Linked DNA regions of Rattus norvegicus. The protein of the gene in region 2 interacts with the protein of the main gene of each other region in a pairwise test. Links are inferred from orthologs where the notes say so. Each region holds a gene or a part of one and is shown on either strand. Other genes may lie near its edges.

Region 1 (6,237 bases), on a different chromosome or scaffold from region 2:
GCCAAGTTCACCCAAAGTTGAAGAATAAATTTGGGTAAGAAAAGGTGGAAAGTGGAACTAGAGACCAGAGAAGGGGGAGGGAGCAGAGTTTAAATGAGGAAAAAAGTTCCTTCTCCCCGAAGCAAGAAGGTTTGCGTGCCTGCGCATCTTCGTGATCACAGTCTCGAGCAAAGGGTCTAGCCCCGGAGCGCACACAGGGCAGCCACAAAACAAGTCTACGAAACACTGTCACGGGCCAAAACTCTAGAGGGCAAGGGTGAGAGGAAGGATGTGGCCCACTCTTTAAGTAGTTTGGCCTGTGTGGCCAGTTGACGCGGAAGCTTTTAACTAGATGGACAGAGTTGGAGTGGACTTGGTCCTTAAATTTTTTTTTTCTTTTTGTCTTGGGGAAGTTAAAGGGCTCCCAGCAAAGACCATTAAGAAATAACGCATGACCGGGCATGATGGCGCATGCCTTTAATCTCAGCACTCGGGAGACTGAGACAAGCGGATCCCTCAGTTCGAGGCCAGACTGGTCTACAGAACTACCAGGACACACAGAAAAATCCTGTCTCGAAAAACCAAAGAAAAGAAACCCCCAAAGCAGCAGTTTCCTTTTTATCACCAAACACAGTGACCTTCGTTTATATGCAAAACAACAAACCAAGGCACCTGCTTTCTTTAAACTGAGTGTCTAGGCTTAAAGAAGACTTCGTTTGTCTCCCGCTGTCAGCGATGCCCAGAGTCAGGCGTTCCGTCGCCGCCGCAGGCTCACCTGCGCCTCCCGGATCTCCAGGCCTTAGCCCCGGTGCTCTGCACCTTCTTACCTGCTGTAGGGCGTCCTCAGGAGCAGGGCCTGGCTGCCTGTGCAACTGTCGGTAGGGGTGTGGCAGCCATACACTGGAGGTGGCACCGAGTACTGCTGCTCGCCTGCCAGAGAGCCAAGGGCAGCAGTGAGCGGGACCCGAGAGTGTGAGGCACAGGCAGGGGTTCTGGTGTGGAGTGGGGGAGCTTGCTGAGCCTCGGACAGAGAGGTCAGCTGTGTGACTTGGGGCTCGCGACTCAAGGACTACTTCTTCACTTTAGGTTGCATCGCAGTCACTATCTAGCATTGGAAGCCTTGCCTGAGGGACGTTTTTCCTTAGTGTACTTTGAACGGAAGGAGATTCGATCTTTCAAATAGAGTAAAACAAGCTAGTATTTCTAAAATCCCTTTTGCTGTCTCGCTTTCCCAGTTTGCTAGGAATTCAAAATTTGGGTAAGATGCGGTAATATAGATGGAGACATCCGGTAAAACCGGCTTTTTCCCCACCCACTTACCCAGCGAGCCCTGCTGGCCCATGGGGTCCTCGTGTTTGAAGGAATGATTGGGGAACTGCGCTGCATGGTGCGAGGGCGTGTGGCCATAACTGGGTGCCCCGTCGAAAGTGACCGTGCTGTATCCTGAAGAAGAGGCACAAAGAAGCACAGAGTCAATTAGGTTCCTGAAAAGTCAGGGACATTGGCAGGACTCGAACCCGGGTGGCAGCGAGTACCCGATCTCCGAATTCGCATCAGCAGTAGAGTCGTCCTCTGTCGTCCCCTGTAGTCCCCTGCCATCCCAGCCACCACCACTACCCCCTCCGCCCTCTAGAACTTCAGACTTGAAGCGGGGACGGGGCAGGGGGGCCCGGGGGGTGCACCAAACTTTGTGGTGGAAACTAATCCCATCCTCTTTCCCGAATAAAATCCCCAACTCCGCGCCTTTCCCCAATTCTTCTGTGCCTGTCTTCCACTGTTGAATAGAACCTCCAGCAAGTTGGGTGTAAAAACCGTCGCCCGCCTGGCGGAGAAACTGTCTTTCTTAAAAAACAAACAACACCGTGGCTCTCACGCTGGGGCGGCTCGGCCCAGAGGACCGGGTTTCCTCCGCTGACCCCGCTTTGACTCAGGGCTGTAAATCAAGGGCCCGCGCACCAGCTTTCATTAATTACTCTGAGCCAGTTCAACGGTCTGCGCTTTAAATGGACAGAGTAATTACCAGGGCATGTTACCTCTCTGGGCTGCACAGCCTGACACCAAGACACCCAAAGCCTTCAGGAAAGCTTGTAGGGGCGGGGGCGGGCACGACCCTTCCAGTTAGGTCGAATCCTTCTGTCCCTCCTACCCTTACCTGGAGCCTAGGGGGCCCAGTTCTGTCCACTGCTGTGGTGACCAACCTTCTTGCCCTACAGGTCAGGACACTGTCCCTAACACTATCCCTGTGTAGCAGTGTTTCAGCCCCTTGCCTCAGTTTCCCTGCTGAGAAGCTGAGGCTGGTGATGATCAGTCCTAGCTCTCCAATGGATGAAAACCAACCAAGAGTCTTGAAATTCCATATTCTTTCACGGTATTGTTACGAAGTTTCTATAAACACATTTCCCATCTGTTTGCCAAATCTCAAGTTCTTGTGGACGCCCTCATCTTAAAAATCCTTCTAGGGACTTAATTGGGGTAGGGCCTTCTCCTCCTCCCCTCCTGGTGAAGGGGGAACCAGGACTTGCAGGATAGAATGCCAATAAGCGCTGGTCCTCACAGAGTGGCTACTCCCCCTCCCTTCAGGGCCATCCTGCAGTAGCCCCGGTGGCTTCCTACTGCGCAGTCTCTAAATCCCAATAAATTCTAGGAAGTAACCACCTGAAGTGAAAATTTCTGGTTTCTTTGGAGACTCAGTTATGTCATGTGATGTTTTTAACCCACCAGTTGATCGAGGTTCTTCAATAAGAGTCGCTGAGACCCTTCATTCAGTACACAGACAGTTATCTCCAATTTCAAAATACAGAGGTGACTCCCACTGTCCAGACAAAAACCCGGCCTTCATTCCTATCGGGATTGCTCCGGAGCAGTCGATGTACTCTACCGATGGTGGCGCTTTACAGTGAAGGGGAGTGATGGGATACCATAGGAATCACCAAGCTGTACCTTGGAAGGCGTTGAGTGCCCCGGAGAACTCTGGTTAGTGACTGAGGAATCAGCCAGCTTTTCAACCTGGGTGAGCGAGTCCTTTACTTCTGAAGCAAGGAAAGATAATCCCCAACCCTAATAACTCTTGGGTGTGGATTAAAAAGTATATATAGCCTTCCAGAGTCTCCCTTTTGAGAAATGAAGCCTGGCTCTGCTTGAGGCCTACAGCTTACAATCAAAATTTGGGTCCAGGCACCCACCCGAGTGTTCCCAGGAGAAATACGGGAGTTTGTGGAAGAATCCTTAAACAAAACAGGGGGAAAGAGGTAGAGCAATAAAGAAATTGTCTCTAAACGAACCCTTCTCCATTCCTGAGCCGAGTAGCCAATGATCTCAGGCCACGCAAAATCTCAGACCCGCTGCTCAATCGCTGGTAACGAGAGCTGCTAGTGCCCGGGCTGCAGCTCCCACGCCAGGGACCTCGGCTCCGCGGTCCGGAACCCCGGCTCGAGGAAGCGGGCGTCCAGCAAGGCTTCTTACCCTCCTTCCCATAGATGACACCCGCAAACCTCGGCCGGCAGAGGCAACCTTGAGCCCCTCCCTCGGGTCTTCTGGGAGGGGCAGCAGTGAAGCAGCAGGAACGCAGGGAGAGCTCTTTTAATTAGAAGCTTATCAGAGCTCGGGCTGATTAGGAACCCGCTGTACCTGGGGACTGAGCTGAGCCCATCTCGAAGAGGGCGGGAGTGGGGGTCGGCGGAAAGATTGCTGACTTCGCGAAGTTTCAGAGTGTTCAAAGGCTTCTTGTCCAGGCCTCGGAGGGAAAGGCCCTCGCAGCCAAGGTAGCCACTTTCCCACGGTTGATCTGGACCAGGGAGGGGAGAGCAACCTTGACATTGTTGGAAGGAGAATAAGGCTCTGAGCTCTCCCCTGCCTCCGCTGCGGAGGAGCCCAGAACAGGCTGCTCCAGCCAGGCCCTGGAGAGCTGAGGGGGAGATCCTACAGCAGGCTAAGCCTGGAAGGTGTTCCGGAAAACCCAGCTGCCAAAGGATAGGTGGAGTCCTCACTCCCACCCAACTACTGTCTTTGATATGACCGGAGGGGGGCGCCTTTGGCCCCATCACAGCAGGTCTCCCGTCACCGACCATCAGGGCAGAGATCTCCAAGGCCCAGGCTATCACTGTTAGGAGAACTACAGGGCTAGAGTGGGACGGGGGTCAGAAGCTGACTGGCAAGCCCTGCATTGGGTCCAGACTAGGAAAATCCTCACCCCCACTTCTGCGTTCTGACAGACTTCCTAACCATCTTACACTCACAAGTTCAGGACCTATTCATCTGGGCAGAGAAAACCCATTTCAGCCAGAGAGCCAAAATTTCTGGGAGAAAACAAGAGAAAAAAAAATGTCATACCTCTGCCACGAACTAAGAGGACTCTTAAAACCCTAATCTCTGAGTGACTGGATTTAGGCTCCCAGTGTTAAGAGGCTCCTTAGATCTCAGTGCTTCTTGTGAAGATTCCTATAGCCACTAGCTGTCTTAATCGGTAATCTACAACCCCACTGACCCCACCGAGTAAGATTTGCTTTTTGCTAAATTAATCTTTACAAGATTATGATGTCAGCTATATAAGAAATGGCTGTGTGTGTGAATGTCCTTAAGAAACGGAGGAAGGAAGGAAGGAAAGTGTCACAGTTGCTCTCCCAGGCTTGCCAACAGGTAACCAGAGATAGCTTGAATTCCTCTGACAGCCGAGTCTGGAGCAAGCTGGTGGCCATGTTCACACTTTCCAGGGACAGAAGACAACTTCTCCTAAGCAAAAGCTCCAAACTATATCCTACATTGCTGAAAGGATCCATAGGAACTCCTAAAATAAAGGAATGAATATTCAAAGAACTTCGGGTCTTGAGGGTCCCTCCTAGTTGCCTTGGGGGATGGGGTGGGTAAGCAGCTCCATGCTCACCACTTCAGATCCCAGGAGGCAAGGGAACCCACAGGGGCCACCTGCATGACCCACTCCTTTTAACTAGGAAAGAAAAAGCCAAGTTTCCTGACGGGAACCTGCTTCCAGGGTATGTCCCTGCACGGAAGACATCTCCCCATTGGCCTTCTCTTGGTTTGAGAAGAGCTGGTGTGGTGGGAAGCTTTCGCCAGTTCTCATTTTCCAAGCTTTCTCGCTTCTGTAGTAGCCTGACCTGTCTACTCCAGAAGAATCTGGATGCCCACCCCTAACACCTCAAGTGCACTGGCAATGCCCTCCCGATTTAAATTCTCAGCCCCACCCACCTTCAACAATGGGTTTCTTCTACTAGACGCGCAGCACAGAGTGCTAAGCCTCACAGGGAGCCTAGAAAGTCTCAAAAAGATAGTGGTCCATTAGAATTTGCTGGCCAGGGGGGTTATAGGTCTGTGAGAGCCTCTCCAAATAACAGGCATGCTCACTCTCGACATACACATGCTTGACAGTGGCTCCTTTTCTGATCCAGGGAGGTGTGGTCGGATTGTATGTTCTGTATTTACACTCTGGTCAGATTTCCTCCTGTTTGGCCTATAACTTCTGGCCTAACCCAAACTCCTGGCTGTCCATCTCAGTTCTCCTCTTGGAGGCGAGCAAAGTGACCTGGAGGTTTGCCAAAGGTAACACCTACCTACTAGAAAGTGATGGCAAGATCCAAGAGCTTCTGCGAAGGCACCAAGTTCTTCCCCCAACATCTCTAGTTCAAAACTCTAGTTTCATTTACCAAAGACCTAAAATGGACCCCCAGTCCGCTCCAATTTTCTCCTCAAGTCCCTGTTCTTCAGTGGTTTCGGTTTCACTAGGGCTTCGGGTGGTCGAGCGGCTCCAGGCTGGGTTCAAAAGGCCCTGGAGAGACCTTGGGCACCTTCTGCATCTTCCCCTAAGGGTGCGGGCTCTCCTTCCCCCTTTCCCACACATTTCAAAAACACCCAGATCAAGGACATCAGAATTTTTGGCCCAAGAAAAGCATGTGTCAGAAAAGGTTTTCCTAAAACATCCACTCAAACGAAATTCGATTCTCAACAGCAAAGAAATCAAATGAGAACAAACGAAGAAAGCGACAGCGGCTTAGGAACCATGGTTCCACCAGGGTGCTAACGAAAGAGAGGTGTAGGGGCTCCTGTGAGAATTAAAAATTAGACTCGTATATTAACTGAAGATCCGCCAATACACTTGTTCTTGTTTCTACATCCAAAGCCTTATGAAATCATTCCCCAGCCTAACTTCGGTGTACGTGACTAGGAAACACCCAAGGAGCAGTGAAAGGAAGAAGGCCACCTTTTCACAGTCTCGCACCAGAGATTTGATTCCATATGGGTTGGAGA
Region 2 (6,295 bases):
AGGGTGAGTTACTTAACTTCTCTGAGTGTGTTTTATTCTGCAGTCAATGGAGAATGCAGAGTACCTATGTCATGGGGGAGCTGGGAAGGTGAGAGGAGCTGACATATGGGAAGCATTTGGAACAGTGCCTGGAAGCAACTGAAGGCCTTTAAATGTGTCACCTCTATCGTTATAACATTTGTCACCCAGGACTCTTTTGGGTAGCTCAAGGAGGGTTGTCACCACTTGGGAAGAAACTCTTGAGTCTGAGCATTTGCACAGTGTCAGTACCATGAAGTAAGATCGGGGTTCAACCACCAAGAGGATTCCATTTCTACGGAGAACTGCAGAATGTTCTGGCACTTACTTCCTTTGGTCCTAGCTTCCTCCCACCTGTTCAACCAGGCTAGCGAAGGTGTCTGCCATAGATTACACCATGCCTCTCCTACATGAATGCTCAGGTGAGGTTCATCTAGGTATACTCCTTGGATGTGGTCCAACACATACTGCGCTGCCGATGGACCTGGTATATGTGACTTTCACTGCATGGTGCTCTTGTTGCGTGGGTGGGGAAGAAGTGTGGTGATGTGCAGATCTTAACTGTAGTATGAACACTGGAAACTTGATGTGTTTTTTGTTTGTTTTAGACACTACGGTGAAACTGGAAAAATGTTCATCAAACTAAAGGAAATGAAAATCCATTGTTAAGCTTAAGGGCCTTTGGCTCACCTCTCCCTGTCCCACTGTGTTCTGAGACTTTTCTTGTCTCTCGTGGATGTTACTGGGGGGCATGCTCAGGCTTAGGGGGACCAGTGAGACCACAAAGGCTGTTGGTCTGTCATTCTTCCAATATGGGTAAGTAATGTTTGTGAAGAAAGACAGGGAAAAGCCAGCTAGGTTAATTGGCTGAACTGTGAGTGTCTCCCTGGACTTCTGTCAAAGAGCATAGCATCTCTGGGATGCTGCTGACAAAGGTTAGCACTGTTCATCCCACGCACCAGGGTTTGCTGTGCCTGGAGCTCAATTTCCAGAGTGTTGGCTGTACGCTTCAACTCCAGCATCTCAGTCTGGCAGCCCTGCAGCTGCTCTGCACTGGACATCTGCTGCTGGTTCAGCTCTTCTGTCTGAAACAAAGGCCCTGTTAGAGAGCTCAGGCAAGGCATCCTCCCCGAAGTCTTCCCTTTCCCAAGGGCACTGACCTGAGCAGCGAACCACTCCTCCGCATCCCTGCGGTTGTTGGCCAGCACCCTCTCATATTGACACCGCATCTCATCCAGGACCTTGTTGAGGTCCACAGTGGGGGCAGTGTCCAGCTCCACATTGAGTCGATCTCCAAGCTGCTCACGAAGCAAGTTGACCTCCTGAGAATGGAAATGGAGTAAGGAATGTCAGAGTGGGGTTTACTTCTGTTTAAGAAAGATTTTTAAAATTTACATTTATGTGTGTCTGTATGCCACATGGAGCTGGGGTTATGGGCAGTTGTGAGCTCCCTGACATGGGTACAGGAAGCTGAACTTGGGTCCTCTGGAAGAGCAAACAGCACTCTTAATTGCTGAGTCATTTTCCCTTATACTCTTTCTATTAGGTCCAAATGTTTCAGCTATTTGTCTGCAAAACAGGTGTAATTTTGTACCCTTTCCCAGAGGATTATTGTGAGACAGGGAAGAGTTACTACACACTACTACACACACAGTAAATCTATAAAATTAATGACACACGCTCAGGTATCCATAATTGCCAACTATTGTTACCAGCTAAGGTATCCACACTTGCCAGCTATTGTTACCATCAAAATATTCAAAGAGTAAATTTTTTCTTTGTTACATCAATCTGCTTCTCATTTTAATAGCTTATGACAGAATCAAATTATAAACACACAATACCTACAAACATGATTCCAAGTATTGTGTGATTGTTTATCCCTTTTTTGGAAGGGGATACACAGTCAGTTTTATCAGCTCAATTTCCTTGTTATACAATAGAGCTATGGAAAAAACCATGAGTTGAGTTACTTCTCAACCCAAGCAATGGCAGGAAAAAGAGTGACCTCACCTCCGTGCCACTGATGAGGGTTATGTTAATGATGCATGCTGTACATCACATCTACCTTGAGAGACACTGGGGCAATCATGCTACACAGTGAGAATGTCTCTAGTTTTGTTCCAGTATAGGCAGTGTCTGTCCCTGTTCAATTTATACACATGAGATTTCTCAACAGAACTCCTCCTATAGTCTTTGGCCCAGCGGCCACTCCACTCACCTCTTCATGGTCTTTCTTAAGGCAAAGTAGATCATCTTTCAGAGACTCCACATGGGCCTCCAGATCTGACTTGCACAGGGTCAGTTCACCCAGGATCCCACGAAGACCACTGATGTCATTCTCTACCAGCTGGCGCAGGGACAGTTCGCTCTCATACCTTTCAGAGTAGGAGAAAGGGAGGGAAGTGGCTTAATTGGCTCAGAGTACTGGGATGCAGGGTTGGATGACACATGGCCTCCAGAGAGTCACACGCCTCAATTTTCCTTACATTCCAAATGAAGGTGAGTTCAGGGTTCAAACATTCTCAGTTAAAAATATATATTATGCAGAAAATATTTTCTCTCTTACTGGAAGACATTAATTATTGTTAATTATTATTTTATAATTAAATTTAAAATTTAACGTGTAAATTGCATACACAAAGCACACTGTGGCTTAACAAAATAAACATAATTTGACTTACTTTGACCTAAAATCATCGGCAGCCAGTTTGCAGTTGTCCACCTGCACGGCAAGTCTAGAATTCTCTGCCTTCGTGCACAATATCTAAGAGGTAAGTCATCATTTAGTGAGGAGCTCTTTAGAAGAAATCCACATATCTATTTTAACAGCCTTGCCACTCATTAGTTTATGAAAGTCTTTCCAAGTTAACATAATGTCTCTTCCAACCCATGATTCCTATTAACTGTGCCACTTCACAGAATAAAAAAACATTCAGTGCCAATTGAGAAACAAAATACAGAAGCAAAAGACCTTCCCTTCCTAAAATGAAGGATTTCACCTTTTCTTTCTTAGTATGTGTAGGTGTGTGTGTGTGTGTGTGTGTGTGTGTGTGTGTGTGTGTATGTGCAGGTGAGCGTGTATATTTAAGAGTATGTGTATGCACATGAGAGTGTACACATTTGAGTGTGTCTGTATGTTGGTAAGAGTGTAGCCTTGTGCAGTGAGAAGAAGGTGAGAAGTTTTAGGTGCTTGTGAGCTGCCACACTTGGATGGTAGGAACTGAACTCAGGTGCTCATGAGCAGTACAATGTTGTTAATCACTGCTGAGCCGTCTCTGGGGTTCAAGGTTTCCTTTATCAGTGATGCAGGGCATTTTGTCACCATCACTGGCTTTTGAGCTTTGTTGAAGTTTCCCACACTGCTAGTGTTTGTTAGAATTGCATCTCTGTGGTCACAGAAATCCATCAATTAAAAAAGGAGAAGTGGCTTTGTTGGTCAAGGGTTTGAAACACGAGTAGGAAGATCTGGGTTCAATCTCACAGAGCTCATGTGAAAAAGGTAAGTATAATACTCAGTGTCGGTTAACCCCTGGTACTAAGGAGGTGGAAACAGTAAGATCCCTGGGGCTCCCTGGCCAGGCCTCAGGGACTGCAGCTAAATCAGTGAGTTCCAGTTTCAAGAAGAGACTCTGTCTCAAAAACAAGGCGAGGAACGCAAGGTACTTGCCATGGACCCCAGACCTCCTTACCCACACTCAGGCATGTGTTCCCTCCCCACACGATCATATATCACGTCGCCCACCAACCCCACATTTTGCACACATACACACAAATAGAGAACGATTTCCAGAACTCAAATGGATGGCATTCAATATCTGTTTGATAAAGAATATAAACACGCAATGATACATGAAGAATGGGGTTTAGAAGACGTCATAACTCAATTTCCTTCACAGTGTAGACAAAGTCTACAGCAAGGTGACATTTCTATAGTCACCCAATAATTCTCTGAGAATGAGATTGATTATTTGAACTAACTCTGGGAATCCCCCTTTCCTTTGTTTTACATCCACAAAGCAACCTGCCCTAGTACAGCTATGAGAGAAAACAGAATTGGAAAACAGAGAACATTGGGAAACATTAGGGCAGTGAGACACCCAACCTTTTGTTGTAGCTCTTCAATGGTGTCAAAGTACCGCTGATAATCCGGGCAGACCGGTGTGGCATCGGGCTCACATTGCTCTCGGATCCTGCACTCCAGCTCTGCATTGTTCTCTTCCAGGCTTCTCACCCGCTCTAGGTAGCTGGCCAATCTGTCATTCAGGAACTGCATGGTCTCCTTCTCATTACTGTTGAACGTCCCTTCTTCACACCATGCACAGTTCCCCACCAGGCAAGGACTGTTACAACCGCCAGTCAAGTAGCACGGTGAGAGGCAACCGGCCGGGAGGTGAGCCCTGCAGAGGAAGCTCGGGGTTTGACATCTGGATGTGGCGCAGGTGCTGGGAAGGTAAGTTGTGCTGGTGGGGCAGAATGAGGCAGTTGTGCAGCTCGATGCCCCTGCATAGGGCTCAGAAGAGCAGCAGTCAGGGGAGCCTTCGGAAGCCATCTTCTGAGAAGGAATGAACAGATTGAATGGTGTATTGCTTAGGTCTCGCCTAGTCTCCCAAAGGTCTAGGACTTTTGGCTTCCTGAGACTTTTATATCTCCCTTCAAATGAGTGTTTACAGGACACACCGATGTTTTCTCTAGCCTTGCAGATGCCAGCTTTCCTACAAACATCTCATTAGTGTTGATTATTTACGGAGGAAGTTGTATGCCTCGTAAAAGGAGGATAACTTCAGGTTACTAAATCAGGACTAACGCCATTTCCACATGCTGCTTGGATAAAAATTCTTATTTCAGCAAACGGCCATAGGAAGCACTACCTTTTTGAATGAATAAGGAACCAAAGAAAAAAATCGAGCCATCAGTAATTAAAGGTAGAGATCATTGGAGATACAGAAAGTAATATTCCAACAGGGTTTGATTTTGAAAATTGATTGCTCTTGTCTACTTTACAAATGGACATCACAGCTTATTAAATTGTATTTGTTTGTGCTACCAACCACTGTAAAAATGGCGGTTAGCAATCTCAATCTTGAAGTGTCTTTTTTTTAGTGAGTTTGAAGTATGTGCTTACATGGTACAGGAAAAGGTCTATGCTGAGTGCAAATTATGTGCATTCATTTTATAGACTGATGAGAATAATTGAGTCAAACTATGAATTGGTTATCAAGATCTGAATTGCGATCTTTGGTCATCTAGAATTTGTGGTCTGTAGCCAAGCACTAAGCATGCCTAACCCTGCTTAGTTGGTGAGATTGGATGTGCACTGAGTGGATAGTCAGACACGCAAGCTTTGCTTTCTCATGTTTACATTTTAGAAGCGTTATGCTGTTTTTGAAAAGCAGTCTTTCTTTCTTTTTCCTTCCGTCCTTCCCTCCCTTCTTCCTTCCTTTGAAGTTGGAGATCAATCATAAGGTATTGTTCATGGCACATAATTGATTTACCTCAACCTATAGTCCCAGTCCTTACCTATATTAAGGAGAGCAGAGAGAGAAATTGCAATGAGGGTTTAGCTGTAATCTGTGACGGAGCTCCTTACCCATTATACTTGGGAATAGAGCCAAGGAAGCCACAAAAATCTTACTTTTAAAAAAATATGGAGTCTGTCTCCTCTTTTTTATTTAGGAAAGTCTCAATTTCATGAAAATGAAAAATATTTGGATGTTGGGAATATGATTATGTGATGTCTGTTTCAGCTAACAGTTTCACTGAGTTAAGAACCTCTGGTACAGAACTAGATGGACATTGGTTCTAGGATCTCACCTCTACTATAACTATAAACTGGAGTTTCATGTTGTCTGATTTTAATTGTGGTTTTTATTTCACTTTCAAAAATTACACAGAGAAAATTGCTTTCAGCATCAATAAAAGTCCACTGTGCGTGTGTATGTGTGTGTGTGTGTGTGTGTGTGTGTGTGTGTGTATGCATGGATATGCATGTATGTGGAAAGTAGACATTAATGTTGAGTGTCTTAGATTGCTTTTTATTTCCTTATTATCATTTTTGAGACAGATTTCTCTACATAACTCTGGCTGACTTGGAATTCACTGTGTAGACTAGGCTGGCTTCTGACTCATATTAATCTACCTGAATCTGTCTCCTGAATGATTTGATAAAAGGCATGTGTTGTCAGGAGCCAACATAGGAGAAGCTAAAAACTAGCAGGAGATCTTTCCGAGATGGGTGTGACTTAGATTAAAATCTACAGTGGAGCTCCAGTAGGCA
Region 3 (6,237 bases), on a different chromosome or scaffold from region 2:
TTCCCATTTGATAATGATACGGCGCTGTGCTCCTCTGACTAGCATGGTATCCAGAACCCAGAGCTAAGGCAGGCTCCTTGGTGAGAATGGTGATGACTGGCTGGACCGTACAGCTCAGCTCCTGAAAGTAAAACTCCTTCTTCATTCATCAGAGCCGGTCATCCATTTAAAGGGAGCCACATACTCCTTTCCTCAGCTATGAAAAGGCTCTTGAGAATGAGAAGTTCTTCCAGGCTTCCCTGAAGCGTGCAGAGCATTTATGTTGTGGATGTATTCCACTATATCCTTACAGAGAGACTTGATCAGCTCTCCCGCAAAACCAGATCAGGAACACACACACACACACACACACACACACACACACACACACACACACATATACAGAGAGAGAGAGAGAGAGAGAGAGAGAGAGAGAGAGAGAGAGAGAGAGAGAGAAACAGACAAGACAGATATGCAATTCAGGAATTGGCATTCTTTCACTCAGGGACAGTAAGACATGATCTCATTTTGTTTTAGAGCAAAGAAAGGAGTTAAATCATTTATTCCTCAGATAGGAAAAGACCAACAGCTCCTTCAAGGCCCTCTGAACTGGGTATCCTATCTCCTAAAGCAAGAGGGTGGTGGCAAGGATAGGCCAGGACTGGGCAACTAAGCCCGCCTACGTGACTCACATATACTCTGTCTTTCACTCCATCGTGTGAACTGGCTGGGCAGGGCTATCTCATGCTCAAATACTCATTGTCTTCCCTAGAGAACATTACGGTCACAGTGAGACCTCCTGTGTCTGCTATGGAGGTGGGATGTGTTCCTCACTGTATCCTCTGGAGCCTTGAGCTGACCCTCACTGCTGTTCTAGGATGGATTGGGGGAAATCGTGGGATTGTAATAGTTAGGCCAGTTTTTCTCAAAATGCAATTTGCAACTCCCCACCTCCACTATCAGAATCCCCTGGGAATACTCACTAGTGGTGTTGAGAGCTAGAGCCCACCCCGAACCACAGAACCAAAGATTCCGAGGGTAAACCTCAAGAGTACGCTTTTCTTTTAATGAATATTTTCTGTGCTGTGTGTGGAAAGATTGGGAACAGATGTCTACAGGTGGAGGGGTGGGTGGTAGATTGGGAAAACTGACAACATTTAAATGTTCTATGGGAGCCCTTCTGTGTCTAACTTCAAGCAGAGAATGGCTGAGAATGCTTCAACCTGAAACATCCTCCCCCCTGCACACAAACACCATGTATTTTTGGAGGTGAAGCCCAGATATAAGGTCCAGAGATGCTCCCACCCATCCCCTGGACCAGCCTACCTGTATGTGAGCGAAGGTGGCGCTTGAGAGCCGTGTGGCTGGGGAAGGTGCGGTTGCACTCGCTGCAGATATAGCTGCGCACGCCTGCGTGGACCTCCATGTGTTGCTGGAGTGCACTCTGTGCCTGAAAGCGCTTCCCACACAGCAGACAGAAGACAGCCATGTCCGTGCCTGGAGGAGACAGCAATGGGAGAGCTTCAGCAACTTAGAGACCCAAGGCCAGATCTTCATCCCTGAAGGCTGGGGCAAGACCCAGAGCCGCCCCTAGAAACCCTAAACCCCACACTCTAAGTCAAACTGCCTTGGGCAACCCAGGCCACGTGACGTTGACGGAGCACCCTGAACGTAGCTTAGAGGAAAGGTGCCAATGGTGCCCTGCCTCCATGAGACCTAAAGGCTTGGAGAGAAGCATAGAAAACCACGTGGATGGTAACACAGATGTGTCTCTGCAAGGGTCTGAGTGCAATGCAGGAGAAGCTGGCGGACTAAAGGTGTGACCACGGGGACTTACAGAGTCTGAGGCAGCAGTGGAAAGACAGGTTAGACTCTAGGTGAACCAACAATAACCTGGATCAGATGGGTTGGCCATTGTTATGACATAACTCACCTAAAACCACAAACCTCATATAAGGAGAGAGAAGCACAGGGAGATTAACCCACACCAATTTCCATAGGGTTCCCAGTTGGGAGCAGCAAAGGGATCTATTCACTTATTCCCTAGGGTTACCTGTAGACCACTGTCCTCCCCTCCCCTCTCCCTACCCCTGAGACAGAATTTCTTTGTGTAGTCCTGGCTGTCCTGCAACTCTATCTGTAGACCAGGGCTGGCCTTTTACTCAAAGATCTGCCTGCTTCTGCATCCTGAGCGCTGCAGTTCAAGTACGGCGTGCTGCCACTGCCGTCTCCCCCACCAACCCCACCGCCCACCACCGCTGCCACCAGTGACCACGTTCTTACAACCACTTTCCCATTTAGGAAATCAGGCATCTTGAGAGCCACTTCATAAATAGTACTGTTGATACTTCCTACAAGGAAGACTCTCTGGGGTTCTGGAGATGAAACAATGGAAGAGTGTACTAGTCCCTGCTCTGATCTCAACACCACCCAGCACACAGTGCACCAAGTCTTTGAACACTCAGGGAGAGCCACACCAGGTTGAGTACGATGTCCAGTCCTAACTTTAGAAGCAGGGAGGATGTGAAAGGAAGAGCTGGGAGCCAGATCATGTGGGTCCTGCCCAGCCATACTGCAAGCCCTGGGGTTCATCCTAAGACCAATGGGAAGCTGTTGAAGGATTTCAAACTAGTGAGTCATATGAAATATTCATTCAGTTCTACCTAGTCACATGCTTGGCTGGCCCAGTAGCCTAGGTGCCCTACTGAAGCCCACGAAGGCAGGCTGCTATTTTCCACTCCTCAAAACCTTCCTGACACAGTCTTCCAGCTGAGTCTCAGTTCATAGCTCCTTGCCTGCCATTTTGGAGTCCATGTCTCTAAGAACATTAGCTCCCAACACAAGCCCATCTGCTTTTCTCTCTGCCCATATTTGGATGGCATGGTCTGTGCTCAGTCCCACAGTGCTGTCTCCTAGGTGAGGGACACTAACAAAAAAGGTAGTCAGGTCAGATCTGCCAGTCTAGTCCAAAGAGGAAAGGGCACGAGAGCATTTGGGCTGCTGAAAGTCTTGGGCTGCTCAGGGTGGCATGAGAAGCTCCCGGGGACAGGTAAGGGAGGAAGGAAAGGGACAGGAAGAGCTTTGCTGCCTCCCTGACTAGCAATGGCAACAGCAAGTGGGAGGGCTGGGTCTTGCTTCCTCAGGACCACACACGGCTCAGTCTAGACCAACACCATCCTCTCTCTTCTCTCTTCTCACATTTAACCACTGGCTCCTGTCTTTGCAGACACCGAAACTACCTGCAGCCATGCTTGTCTACCAACAGCCAGGAGGGCTGCATGGCAGAAGAACCGTCCACCTCCTCAAAGGTGTGTGTGTGTGGGCAGGGGGACAGGGACTAAAGACCACCATTTCAGCTAGGTCTTTATCTGTGCTGTCACCACATTTAAAACATGCATCCCTACCAGACAGGCATCCTTCCCACCTTCTTCCAAAGAGGAAAATAGAGATTAAATAACTTGCCTAAGGTCACACAGTGAGAAAGAGGCAGAGCAGGGAATCTAGAAAATGCCTTGGTCCGTTTGATTCTAGAAAACACCAATTGAATCCCATTTATCTATTTATCTTTAGGTTTTAGTCTGTGTAGCCGTGTACCTTTGTATGGTATACGGGTGTGACGGGGTGTTTGGAGGCCAGAGGTTAACATCAGGATGGCTCTCCATCTATTTTTTTTATCTGTATATATATATTTATATTTATATAAAAAGACCAATAATAGCAGTGTGTTATGCATCAACAGCAGCAACAGCTTTTCCAGGTTCTGCAGTCATCTGAACAAAACTGTAGAGACATCCAGCACACTCCATTAAAAAAAAAAAAAGTAAAAAAACAAAACCCGAGAAAACAGCACAGTTCTGTTACTCTTGTGGTACCTGGCACCATTTTTTTTTAAATTAGCTTCTCAATCATCATCTGGAAAGAAAACTTTCTGAGCAACATCATTAAAAACAGCTCTGATAAAGCACGGTCACTACTACGTATCATAAAGCAGGTACGAGCTATTTTACATCCACAGAGGTATGATACAGTACTGTCCTACATCTATAATACTAGAGGATACAATTTAAAAGGCATTATTTGAGACTTGATTCTACTTCTCCAGCAGAGGGCCCAAAGGATGGTGTGACACAGCTTTGTAAAGAAACATACTCTAGACAGGATTTCCTTTCACTAGTGGCACACTTCTAAGGATTCATTCTCTCCATGAATGTCAGCTAAAACCGTTATTAAAAAATGAAATATCCCTAGAACAAAACTGTATAACCACCGGATTCCCATGAAGATGACCTAGTGGAGACAAGCTGGACCTCACCTTACCAACAAGCTATCAAATCTGTTATGTTTAAACAGTGAGACCTCCAAGGAAGGAGATGCCAAGTAGTGCTTCAAAGCTTCGGACCACAATCAAACACAGCATCCTTTTCAACAGAAGCAGAAGCTCATCTGAATATGCTCATGGATGCTGACATCAACATTTAATCATCTCCTCACTCATCCAGGAAGAGGGGGAGATCAGTTACTACTGTACTTTATTGTGTTCAACCAAATTACCATGTTACAAAAATAGCAAGCTGCCATAATAAAAAATAAGGCTCCTCTATCCAGCACCAAATAGCATCATTTTACTTTCAAGCCTAGAAATTGCACACTTGTATATAAACCAATCGAAGATGAGGATTGAGAGTTCATCTTGGTGGATTTTTCCTTTGATGAATATGAAGTGTCCTTCCTTATCTTTTTTGATGACTTTTAATTGAAAATTGATTTTATTTGATATTAGAATGGCTACTCCAGCTTGCTTCTTCTGACCATTTGCTTGGAAAGTTGTTTTCCAGCCTTTCACTCTGAGGTAGTGTCTGTCTTTGTCTCTGAGGTGTGTTTCCTGTAGGCAGCAGAATGCAGGGTCCTCATTGCGTATCCAGTTTGTTAATCTATGTCTTTTTATTGGGGAGTTGAGGCCATTGATGTTGAGAGATATTAAGGAATAGTGATTATTGCTTCCTGTTATATTCATATTTGGATGTGAGGTTATGTTTGTGTGCTTTCATTCTCTTTGTTTTGTTGCCAAGACGATTAGTTTCTTGCTTCTTCTAGGGTATAGCTTGCCTCCTTATGTTGGGCTTTACCCTTTATTATCCTTTGTAGTGCTGGATTTGTAGAAAGATATTGTGTAAATTTGGTTTTGTCATGGAATATCTTGGTTTCTCCATCTATGTTAATTGAGAGTTTTGCAGGATACAGTAACCTGGGCTGGCATTTGTGTTCTCTTAGGGTCTGTATGACATCTGTCCAGGATCTTCTGGCCTTCATAGTTTCTGGCGAAAAGTCTGGTGTGATTCTGATAGGTCTGCCTTTATATGTTACTTGACCTTTTTCCCTTACTGCTTTTAATATTCTTTCTTTATTTTGTGCGTTTGGTGTTTTGACAATTATGTGACGGGAGGTGTTTCTTTTCTGGTCCAATCTATTTGGAGTTCTGTAGGCTTCTTGTATGCCTATGGGTATCTCTTTTTTTAGGTTAGGGAAGTTTTCTTCTATGATTTTGTTGAAGATATTTACTGGTCCTTTGAGCTGGGAGTCTTCACTCTCTTCTATACCTATTATCCTTAGGTTTGATCTTCTCATTGAGTCCTGGATTTCCTGTATGTTTTGGACCAGTAGCTTTTTCCGCTTTACATTATCTTTGACAGTTGAGTCAATGATTTCTATGGAATCTTCTGCTCCCGAGATTCTCTCTTCCATCTCTTGTATTCTGTTGGTGAAGCTTGTATCTACAGCTCCTTGTCTTTTCTTTTGATTTTCTATGTCCAGGGTTGTTTCCATGTGTTCTTTCTTGATTGCTTCTATTTCCATTTTTAATTCCTTCAACTGTTTGATTGTGTTTTCCTGGAATTCTTTCAGGGATTTTTGCGACTCCTCTCTGTAGGCTTCTACTTGTTCTCTAAGGGAGTTCTTTATGTCTTTCTTGAAGTCCTCCAGTATCATGATCAAATATGATTTTGAAACTAGATCTTGCTTTTCTGGTGTGTTTGGATACTCCGTGTTTGGTTTGGTGGGAGAATTGGGCTCCGATGATGCCATGTAGTCTTGGTTTCTGTTGCTCGGGTTCCTGCGCTTGCCTCTCGCCATCAGATTATCTCTAGTGTTACTTTGTTCTGCTATTTCTGACCGTGGCTAGACTGTCCTATAAGCCTGTGTGTCAGGAGTGCTGTAGACCTGTTTTCCTGTTTTCTTTCAGCCAGTTATGGGGACAGAGTG

The links.
Region 1: the proteins of Krt40 (region 2) and Wt1 interact in binary tests that used the Homo sapiens proteins (3 or more experiments, as listed by UniProt). The two-hybrid records come from large-scale screens. The link is inferred for Rattus norvegicus from reciprocal best matches to the Homo sapiens genes KRT40 and WT1.
Region 3: the proteins of Krt40 (region 2) and Zbtb16 interact in binary tests that used the Homo sapiens proteins (3 or more experiments, as listed by UniProt). The two-hybrid records come from large-scale screens. The link is inferred for Rattus norvegicus from reciprocal best matches to the Homo sapiens genes KRT40 and ZBTB16.

The regions. Positions count from the first base shown.
Region 1 is NC_086021.1:112,023,137-112,029,373, reverse strand, and holds part of Wt1 (Wilms tumor protein homolog), read right to left. Parts: exon of another isoform or gene 3,629-6,237; coding exon of another isoform or gene 3,607-3,628; intron 3,569-3,606; exon of another isoform or gene 3,271-3,568; coding exon of another isoform or gene 3,261-3,270; intron 1,423-3,260; coding exon 1,300-1,422; intron 910-1,299; coding exon 807-909; intron 1-806. UniProt on the Homo sapiens protein: Transcription factor that plays an important role in cellular development and cell survival. Recognizes and binds to the DNA sequence 5'-GCG(T/G)GGGCG-3'. Regulates the expression of numerous target genes, including EPO.
Region 2 is NC_086028.1:84,994,329-85,000,623, forward strand, and holds the start of Krt40 (keratin, type I cytoskeletal 40), read right to left. Parts: upstream 4,571-6,295; coding exon 4,124-4,570; intron 2,786-4,123; coding exon 2,703-2,785; intron 2,397-2,702; coding exon 2,240-2,396; intron 1,341-2,239; coding exon 1,179-1,340; intron 1,104-1,178; coding exon 978-1,103; intron 1-977. UniProt on the Homo sapiens protein: May play a role in late hair differentiation.
Region 3 is NC_086026.1:57,898,105-57,904,341, forward strand, and holds part of Zbtb16 (zinc finger and BTB domain-containing protein 16), read right to left. Parts: intron 1,477-6,237; coding exon 1,306-1,476; intron 1-1,305. UniProt on the Homo sapiens protein: Acts as a transcriptional repressor. Transcriptional repression may be mediated through recruitment of histone deacetylases to target promoters. May play a role in myeloid maturation and in the development and/or maintenance of other differentiated tissues.